Linked DNA regions of Oryctolagus cuniculus. The protein of the gene in region 2 purifies or fractionates together with the protein of the main gene of each other region. This does not show direct contact. Links are inferred from orthologs where the notes say so. Each region holds a gene or a part of one and is shown on either strand. Other genes may lie near its edges. The genes, in order: EMB and SLC16A11.

Region 1 (4,396 bases), on a different chromosome or scaffold from region 2:
CCCTCCTTGCTCTAGCACTCCACACTGGGCCACCCTCCTACCTGGATGTCAGCTGGATGAGCTTCAGGCTCTGATACCTGGAATTGGGCCCGTTCAGCTCCACCCCCCAAGTGAGAACGCCCCTTGTCCCTTGGCCATCTAACGGCGAGATGACCCTTTCAGGGACAGTTGAGAGGGAGAAGGGAAGGAGGAAAGAAAGTAACAACTGCAGGTGGCATTCAAAATTCAACAAATCTATAGCCGGCTAATTTTTAAGTTGATAATTTTGTGTGGTCCATGAATGATGTGATAAATACCCAAATGGTCCTTGGCAGAAAAAAGGTTCCCCACCCCTGCCCCAGAACTTCATAAGATGACCCCATTTGGAGATAGATAACCAAGTTAAAATGAGATCATTTCAAGTAACTTCACTGCAAACATTTTTCAAAACATACACATAATCTGCTCCCCCAATTGGTTCTCTGGAATAATAATAATGATGGTGTTTAAATACAAACAGACACGTAATATTTCTCCTTCACAGAGATATTTTATATGTCATACTTAATTTCAAAGCCCTAAAAGAGTGAAGCCACGACCCTGTGCCTAACTTCATTCCAGGCCTCAGATGTCAGTATGTCCTCCAGCTCAAATCAGACATTTCAACTCATACGTTGCACTGTCAAAGTTCCAAACGTTCACAGGCATAACCAGTCACTTTCCACTATTGTATATTGTATTTAAGCTTTGTGTTTAGGAAAGCAGGTTTTGGAATCAGATTAGCTATTGCTAAATTTCCTGCTCTGCTGCTTAACCAAGTATGTGTACTTGGGCAATTACTTAACCTAAACCCCAATTTCCTCATTTGAAAGCCAGGAACAATGAAATCTAACTCAAAGAGCTATGAAATAAATAGTGCAGTCCCTGCATACATTTGTTATATAACAAACATAGTAAATATGTTACATAATTACATAATAAATCTGATAACCATTTTTATTATTGTAATTTGCTCCACAGCCTGAGGTTAACACAACACGTGTCTCCAAGTAGTTCAAAGCATCTACATAGAAAATGTCCAGCAAGCCTCAAGAAGATTCTTCATCAAACAGGAAACTGAATCTCATGGAGATTAGTGCAGAGTCAAGAGAACAAGCTGAGGTTGCCTGACAATTTGTAATTCTAGCTCAAAATTAGATACTAACTCATGCCTTTTAAACGGCACATTGTTTCATAATTTTAACTAAGAGGAGCTACAAGCACAAGACTTACACATATTTCCCCCTTTCATTCACTCTAGTTATCGATATCTTCATTTATTCCACCTACTATTATTAGTTATTAATAATACTTATTATTAATACTAATACTTATTACTAATTAATACTTATTACTAATTAATACTTATTACTAATACTAATTATTAATACTTATTAATAATACTACTTATTTTCTCTAAAGAGGTCTATCTGCTCTGGATATTAACTTAAATCTGATGCCAACAGAATCGCTATCTACCTAATAGTACAATCTCTTGTCCTATCTTTTAAGGGAGTGGGTTCCACTCTGCTTATGTTAGAATCATATGAAGCAGTTCCTGAACTTCCTAATATCTGGGCTGAATTCCAGGGTAAGTGAATCTGCTTCTGCCAACAGCACCCACGCATTTGCGTTGTTAAATCTCTCTGGTAATTCGGACACAGCCAAGGAGAATCACGATTCCAGGATCAACCCAGAATGCACTGCTTCTCAGAACTTCAAGATTGTGAAGCAAACAAATCATGAGAGCTACTCAGAGAGGGAAAATACCCTGGAGATTCTCTACAAATGGTGTAACTGAAAAGGGATAAGGGGTGTGAAACAGCCCAAACGGTTTACCTTTGAAAAGACACTGTTAAAAGAGTGAAAAGTTTATCATTTGATTATCTTTCCATCTTTATGGTATGTTACCAAAAATCTCTGTGGTATCACCTCACAACAATATATTCCTGTAAAAGGGGGAAACCTTTGTTTACAATAATGTCCTGATTTTGGTAACTGGTGGTTGATTTTTACCAGTTTGAAGGATGCCGGTGGTGTTATCCTCACTGACTGCTAATGCTAACAGATTTATTAACACAGACACTTGCATTAGAAAGTAAGCTAAAGCTTTGGAACAGTTCGACATAAAAAGTATAAACAGGTGATGCTGAAGTGGCAAATTTGCTGTTGGCTTTGGTAAGGTTTTGCACATAAATCTCTCTGTTGCTTCAGTGTCTTAAATAACAAAGCCCAAAACCATCACTACCAAAAAATAAAAATAAATAAAATGTTTTTTTTCCCCAATGACCATAATGTGAAAATTAGACAGACACATGATCCTACTGTAAGGTGTGGGGGCTTTGTCTGATTCGTTATGACGTTTCTTCCACCCAGCTCTAAAACCCAGCCTCAAGGCCAAGTCACCTGCCTGGAAGAGGAGGAAAAGCAGTGACATTTGAGCCTTACCCTCGATTTAAGTGAAGGGAGCTGGCCTTGGAGAATGTGACCCTTAGAAATCCAGACACCCTAGCCCCGCACCCACCCACACACCCGTCGCCCTCTTCCTAGGCTAAAAACAGCCCTGCCTAACACCAACACCCCCGAACTGCCAGACGTGGTCCTTTGGAGTCGCCCCACAGAGCCCCGGGGAGCCAGAGCCGCCCAGTTCCCTCGCTCAGCAGAGGTAGCCCGAGTGCAGCCAATGGGAGGCCGCCGGCACCGCCCAGCACCCGCCCGCGCCTGCATCCCCGCGCCTCTCCCCATCGCCCCTGCCCGGGATGCCCACGGGGACCCAAGCCTCGCGCGCTCCTCCCTGCACTCCCTGCACGCTCCCCAGCCGGCCCCTGTTCCCATCACACCTGTAGGCTGGCTGTCCGCCAAGCTCGGGCGCGCTGCAAGGAGGAGGCACAAGAGGAAGTGCAGCCGGGGCGCCCGGGGACACTGAAGGCCAGTGAGGGCGCGCATGGCGCTGGCGGGTCCGCAGCCGTTCTCGTCGAGGCTGCTACCGCGGTGAGTCGCCGACGGTGTCCGGAGCCCTGGCGCACACTCGCCGGTAGTCCAGGGCCCACTGCCAGTCCCGAGGGCAGGACACGCGAGAAAAGGCGGAGTGGGAGGGGCCCAGCCGCCCTGCCCTCCCCCCACCCCCCCCCCCAGATGCTCTCACCGCGCCCGGGGCCGGCCCAGCACTGCGCCCGGCCCTCCATCAATTATGCAGCCGCAAGCCGGCTGCGGGCGCGCCCGGGTGTGTAGGGCCGCGGTGCTGGCGCATCCTCTGGGGCCTCTCGCAGGTCGGAGAGGGAGCTTGGGGTGCGACAGCTGAGCTTGACCTGAGAGAGGTTGAACCCCCACCTCGGAGACTCTCCCTGGCGTTCGTCAGAGGCCAGTGCCCGAAGGAGAGGGGAGAGGACACTTTTCTTCCCCCCCCGGACATCATCAAGCTTCCTTTTGAAAGAGGTTCATTGTTTGGCTCGTGCGGGGCGCGCTCCAGGTGCCCTACAGTCTGGCTCTGCGCTCTGCCTGCCAATCACACACACCCTCCCCTCCAGTCCCTGAAGGCTTAACTGGTTCTGTCCAGATTAAAGTTCCAGAAGCCCAAGGCCCCACAGTGTATCTGTCCTTATTTTCCTATTGTTTGCTTGGCCTAACAGTTTCTGAGAACCACCTAGAGCTCAGGAAACAAAACCTACAGTAAGGAGATACTTTGTAAACAGCACCCAGAGGCTGGCCTTAGCCTACAGAACGGGTGTTAGGTAATGCTGTGCCGTACACAGCAAGGCAATGATGATTGCTCAGTGCTCCCGACCACGTTAAAAGAAAAAAAGTAGAAGAAAAGAAAAGAAACTAAAAATCATTGTTGCATTGGGGATAAAAAGGAGAACTCCACATTATAACATCAAAGAGCAGTAAGATTTGATGATTCATCGGGATGTAAGAACACATTAACAGATATTATGAATTTTGAAGATTAAGCTACAGAACAAGAGAGCTAAACCTACCCCACAGAGGTGGTTCATTTTCAGTTGGTAAATATTAGTAAAATGTGCTTGGGGCAAAACTTTGAAAGAGAGGATAGATTATTCAAATCGGCATTAAAGAATATGAAGGATACTATTTAATCAGCAATATTAAGTACTACCAAATGCCAGGCACTGTGCTCAAAATAGACTGCGTTTACAGCAAGGAGCTCATGCAAGATAATTAACCCAGAGAACTATTGATCTGAGGACTACCAGTCTGTGAAAGGCCACTACTTGCCAGGAAATTATGCTTATGATCACTTAACTTTCCTGAACAGATCCTCATGAGAGGCCATGAAGGACCCACAGTTACACTCTGTGACCCTCTGAACACCTTCACTGAGCTTGCTCATCCAATCAGGCTTTTGTCTTGGTACCCT
Region 2 (4,326 bases):
AAGGCCACCCAGGGTGCCAGGTACAGACAGCCAGGGTGCGACAGCGCCCTGTTCCGGAACCACGATGCCTTCGTAGTCTGGGCCTGCCTCCCCTCCGAGCAGGCCCCGGGCTCCCACGGTGGGTGTGCCAACCCTTTGTATTTTGTTTAGGGGTCTTCCGCTTGGCTCCCTCGACTTCCCCTGAAGGATCCAGGAGTTCCCGCTGCACTGAGCCGCGAATCCACTGTAAAACTCCACGGCCAGGAGACTGGACACATTTTACATACGACCTCTGCTGCTGTGTCCCGTTTCTCCTCGGAAGACGCGTGTGTGGGAAACAAGGTCGGCCCTTTGAGAGGAGACGGAATAGGAGACCCAGATGAGCCCCACCACCTCACAAACAGCAAGGGGACCCGATGGAGTCACGGCCCAGCAGTGCTGGGCAGGGCTCCGGGAGCTCGGAACCCCGAACTCTGCTGTCGGGGCCACAGCTCCTCCCTCCTCTTCCCCGCTGTCCCTGTGACATGTCCAGGGGACACTAGGTCATCCCCTAAGGGAAAGGGGCATGGAGCAGGTGGCTCCTCCAAGCATCACTCCCGGCCCGCGACAGTGGAAACTGATGGCAGAGTCCCTGTTATGGCAAAGATTTGGACAGAAAGATGAGTGGACTGACCAGGCTGACAAACACCCTTCCCCACCCCCAGGGCCTACTGGGATCCTGTCCTCAGTCATCTTGGTTATTTAAGCCCAGTGGCCTCAGGGCCCCAGAATGGCTAACAGGTGGAGCTATCAGGAAAATGGGATACAATTTCTTTATTGGGGGCTGGGCTCAAACAGGAAACGGATCAGCAAGTGGTGTCCGGAGTGGCCTGCGGGCCTCCTGGGGAGAGTAGGGCTACCTGGAGCGCAGGGAGCAGCTCCCCCCTCTCAGGGGGAGGCGTGGCTGGAGGGGAGGCCCGGCGGCGGCAGGTGGGCAGCGCCCCGGGCAGCCCCGTGTAGATGACGCTGCCGGAGAGGATGAGAGAGCTGCACACCAGGAAGGAGGCGGTGAAGTCCCCTGTCTTGTCCCTTAGAAAACCTGAGGGAGGAATGAAGGAATTGAGGGGCGTCGCAGCCCAGGAACCCAGGGTGCTTAGGAGCAACTCCGCTGGCTCAGGCCCTTACCTGACAGGGGCGGGCCCAGGAGGCCCCCGAGGCTCATCAGCATCATCACCAGCCCCGTGGCCTGCACCACACCGCCGAGGCCCACCAGCCCCGGGAGCACGCCGAAAACCAGCGGGGCGTAAGCTCCGGCGCTCAGCCCGTAGGCACCGGCTGCGGCCAGCAGGGGGCGCCCCCAGCCCTCCTCGCTCTCCGTCGCGGGGACCAGACCCACCGCCAGCAACCCCAGTCCGGTCAGACCCCCGAACACAGCCAGCAGTCGTGGGAGGGGCACCCAGCCCTGGTCCGCTAGCCACCCGCAGACCAGCCGGGCGCCCGCATCCCCCACCGCAGCCACCGCCACCACCAGCGCAGCCCCGTACCCCCCGAGGCCCCGATCCAAAGCGTGCGGGGCCAAATGCACGTAGGGGACGAAGTACCCTCCCCCAATCAGGGCCGTGGCCAGAGCGAAGACTGCGAAGGCCCGACGTGTGAAGAGACCCAGGCCGAGGGCAGCCACGGGGCCGCGGGGTGGGCTCGGGGAGTCGCCAGGGAGGGCCAGGGGACGCAGCAGGGCGCCGCAGGGAGTGAGGTGGAGGGTGATGGCCCCCAGGAGGAGCAGGGCGCCCCTCCAGCCGAAAGTGTCCAGGAGGAGCTGCAAGGCGGGCGCCAGCAGCAGCGAGGAGACCCCATTGCCCGTGAGCGCCAGCCCCACCGCCAAGACTCGACGGCGCGAGAAGTAGCGCGAGAGGGTGCCCAGGGCAGGCGCGAACGCCAGGGCCCAGCCGGAGCCTGCGAGTGGACAGGGCGGGGTGAGCGCGGCGGCCCCATCCTGCTCCCCCAGCCCTCCGTCAGTCACCCCGTTCCCCTCCCTCACCGGCGAGGAGGCCCAGGCCGAGGTACAGGTGCAGCAGACTTCCCGCGAAAGCCGAGAAGACGAAACCCAGCGAAGTCAGGACGCCCCCAACCATCACCACCGGGCGCGACCCCCAGCGCGTGCTCAGGGCGCTGCCCACTGGGCCTGGAAAGGGGCGGGGTCACCGCAAGACACGCCCCCTGGGCCCCCAAACTGCAGCGCTTGTCCCGGCCAGTGTGCCCAACCCCCGGCCTGACAGCCCCTCCTCTGGGCCTCCAGCCCCACACTTTTCCAGAACTCGGTTGTGCCGGTCGCCTACTCATCGGGGAGTCTCCCGCCGTTACGCCCCCGCGCCCCCTCCCCCTCGGGGCCCCCCCTCACTGGCTGCCTGCTGCACGGCCAGGGCCAGGGCGCTGACCCACGCCGTGTCCTGGGCGCTTCGGTCAAAGTGTTCGGCGAGGGCAGGGAGGGCGAGGCCCAAAGAACGCAGGAGCCCGTAGGAGAGCCCGTTCACCAAGAAGGCCGCGGCCGCCACCACCCAGCCCCAGCCCCCGTCCGGGGGTCCGGCCGGCTTGGCGGTCATGGCCGTCTGCGGGGTGGAGAAACGCCAGTGAGTGGAGGCTGCCAGGGCGCGGGCATCCCCGGGGTCCAGCCGCTGGTCTTGAGCATGCCCGAGCAGGTGCGGGGCTCCAGAGCCCGACCTTGAGGTGGCAGAACTTCTGGGTCCGCGCGCGCGCGGCCCCGGGGGCCTGGACGGCAGGATCCTCCCCCCTACCCACGCCCTCTCCCCCTTACCCGACCTCTCCGGGCGGTGGGGGAAGGGGAGGGCTCGGTTTTCTCCTCGCTTCCCGGGCGGGCGGGGCCCCGGAGGGGAGAGAGCCGAGCGGGAGCCCAGCCTGGACGGGCTTGCTCGGTAAACAGAGATCACCGCAGGGGCCCGAGCCACCTGGGACGCTAGGGGTACGGGAGGGCGGGGGCGAGCCGAGACCGGCAGCCAATCCGCCGGGCTGCGGGTGAGGCCTGCCGCCGAGCCCCACGGGGATCGAATTATCCACACGCAGCCGGCAGCGCCAGGATAGGGAGCGGCGGGCACCGAGAGCCGCCCCGCCCCTCCCGCCGCCGCGCCCGGCCTGCGCCCACGCACCTGCCGGCAGCTGCGCGCGGAGCAGAGGTGCTCGCTCCAAGCCCGAGGCGGCCCTGGGCCTGCTGCCAACGCACGGAAATCGGAGCGATGGCCAAGGCCTGAGGGGATGAGTGGGTTTGTTCCGGGGCCCAAGAGCAGGTAAATCCTAGGAGCAGGTAGATCCCCGACGGCAAATCACAGAGCCGGGGTCAAGTCCCCAGGGCACGGGGAGAGGGACCCGCGGTGTGCCAGGCACTCTGTACACAGATGATAGTTTCATCCTCTCAGTAGCCCCAGGACGAAGATGGCACTTCCACTTGGCAGAGCACGGGAGCGTCCCAAATCGCTCAGCTCAAAAGTGGCAGGAGTGTTTAGGCGGAGGTCTCTCCGGCTGCGGGACCACACGGGGAGAAGAGACCTGGGCAGTGGAGGGCAGTCGCCTGGGGGGCGTTTGGTGCACACTCCCCTGCAAAAGGCCGAGCCTTTGCAAAGCCAAGAGTGTGTGACTCTCAAACAGGGGCTGGAAGAGACCTTAGGCTTAGGCTAGAATTGGAAAAAGCGAAGGAAAAAAATCAGAATTAAAACTCGGGTATTGACTTCTTCAAAAACTTGACAAGACGAATTTTTTTTAAAATAGATTCACGTGGGGTTTACTTCAGCCGTTCCTATCTGATGTGTTGCTTGCTTTCATTATTAAACACAACAAAATTCAGCCGCCTGCAGGTGGGCGCGTTACCAACAGAGGGCCACGCGATGGCAGTGTTTCCTAACTGTTGAGAAAGGCCCCGCCTGTGAGGAAAAGACCAACAGCTGTTTCAGACCTCCAAGCCTGGGAAAACAGCGTGGCCCCTGGGAGGAGGGGTGGCCCCCGAGGGGAGGGGGCGTGGCCTCTGCGGGGTTGGGGCCGCCAAATGCCTGTCCTATGTGTTTAAGGCCTTTTGCAATAAGAAAGTTGACCTGGGCTACCTGTGCCTTCCACCCCCTTCCCCTCCCTCTTGCACCCTCCCATCAGCTGTGAGCTTCGCACCTGCTGCGTGGATCCGTTTGCTCGCTTCTGGATTTTGGCTGTCCGCTTGCAAGTCTTCTGGAAGGGTTTGAGGTCCTGCCACGTACACCTTAGGAAAGTGGCCCCACCGGTTTCCCCAGGCTGAAGTCCTGTTTTGAAAGCTGCTCCAGGAGGTGGGGCCCGCGGGCCCTCAGACACCTGCTGGACAGGGGGCCGCTTCCT

What was found.
Region 1: the proteins of SLC16A11 (region 2) and EMB purify together in Homo sapiens (co-immunoprecipitation; 3 studies listed by BioGRID and IntAct, counting the BioPlex papers as one, with this or other methods). This does not show direct contact. The link is inferred for Oryctolagus cuniculus from reciprocal best matches to the Homo sapiens genes SLC16A11 and EMB.

Annotation. Positions count from the first base shown.
Region 1 is NC_091445.1:71,364,630-71,369,025, forward strand, and holds the start of EMB (embigin), read right to left. Parts: upstream 3,097-4,396; 5' UTR 2,965-3,096; coding exon 2,859-2,964; intron 1-2,858. UniProt on the Homo sapiens protein: Plays a role in the outgrowth of motoneurons and in the formation of neuromuscular junctions.
Region 2 is NC_091448.1:51,740,208-51,744,533, forward strand, and holds SLC16A11 (monocarboxylate transporter 11), read right to left. Parts: upstream 3,098-4,326; 5' UTR 2,776-3,097; exon of another isoform or gene 2,771-2,775; intron 2,565-2,770; 5' UTR 2,559-2,564; coding exon 2,357-2,558; intron 2,141-2,356; coding exon 1,997-2,140; intron 1,912-1,996; coding exon 1,144-1,911; intron 1,058-1,143; coding exon 825-1,057; 3' UTR 775-824; downstream 1-774. Other genes in the region: SLC16A13 (monocarboxylate transporter 13), read left to right, coding at 1-1. UniProt on the Homo sapiens protein: Proton-linked monocarboxylate transporter. It catalyzes the transport of pyruvate across the plasma membrane.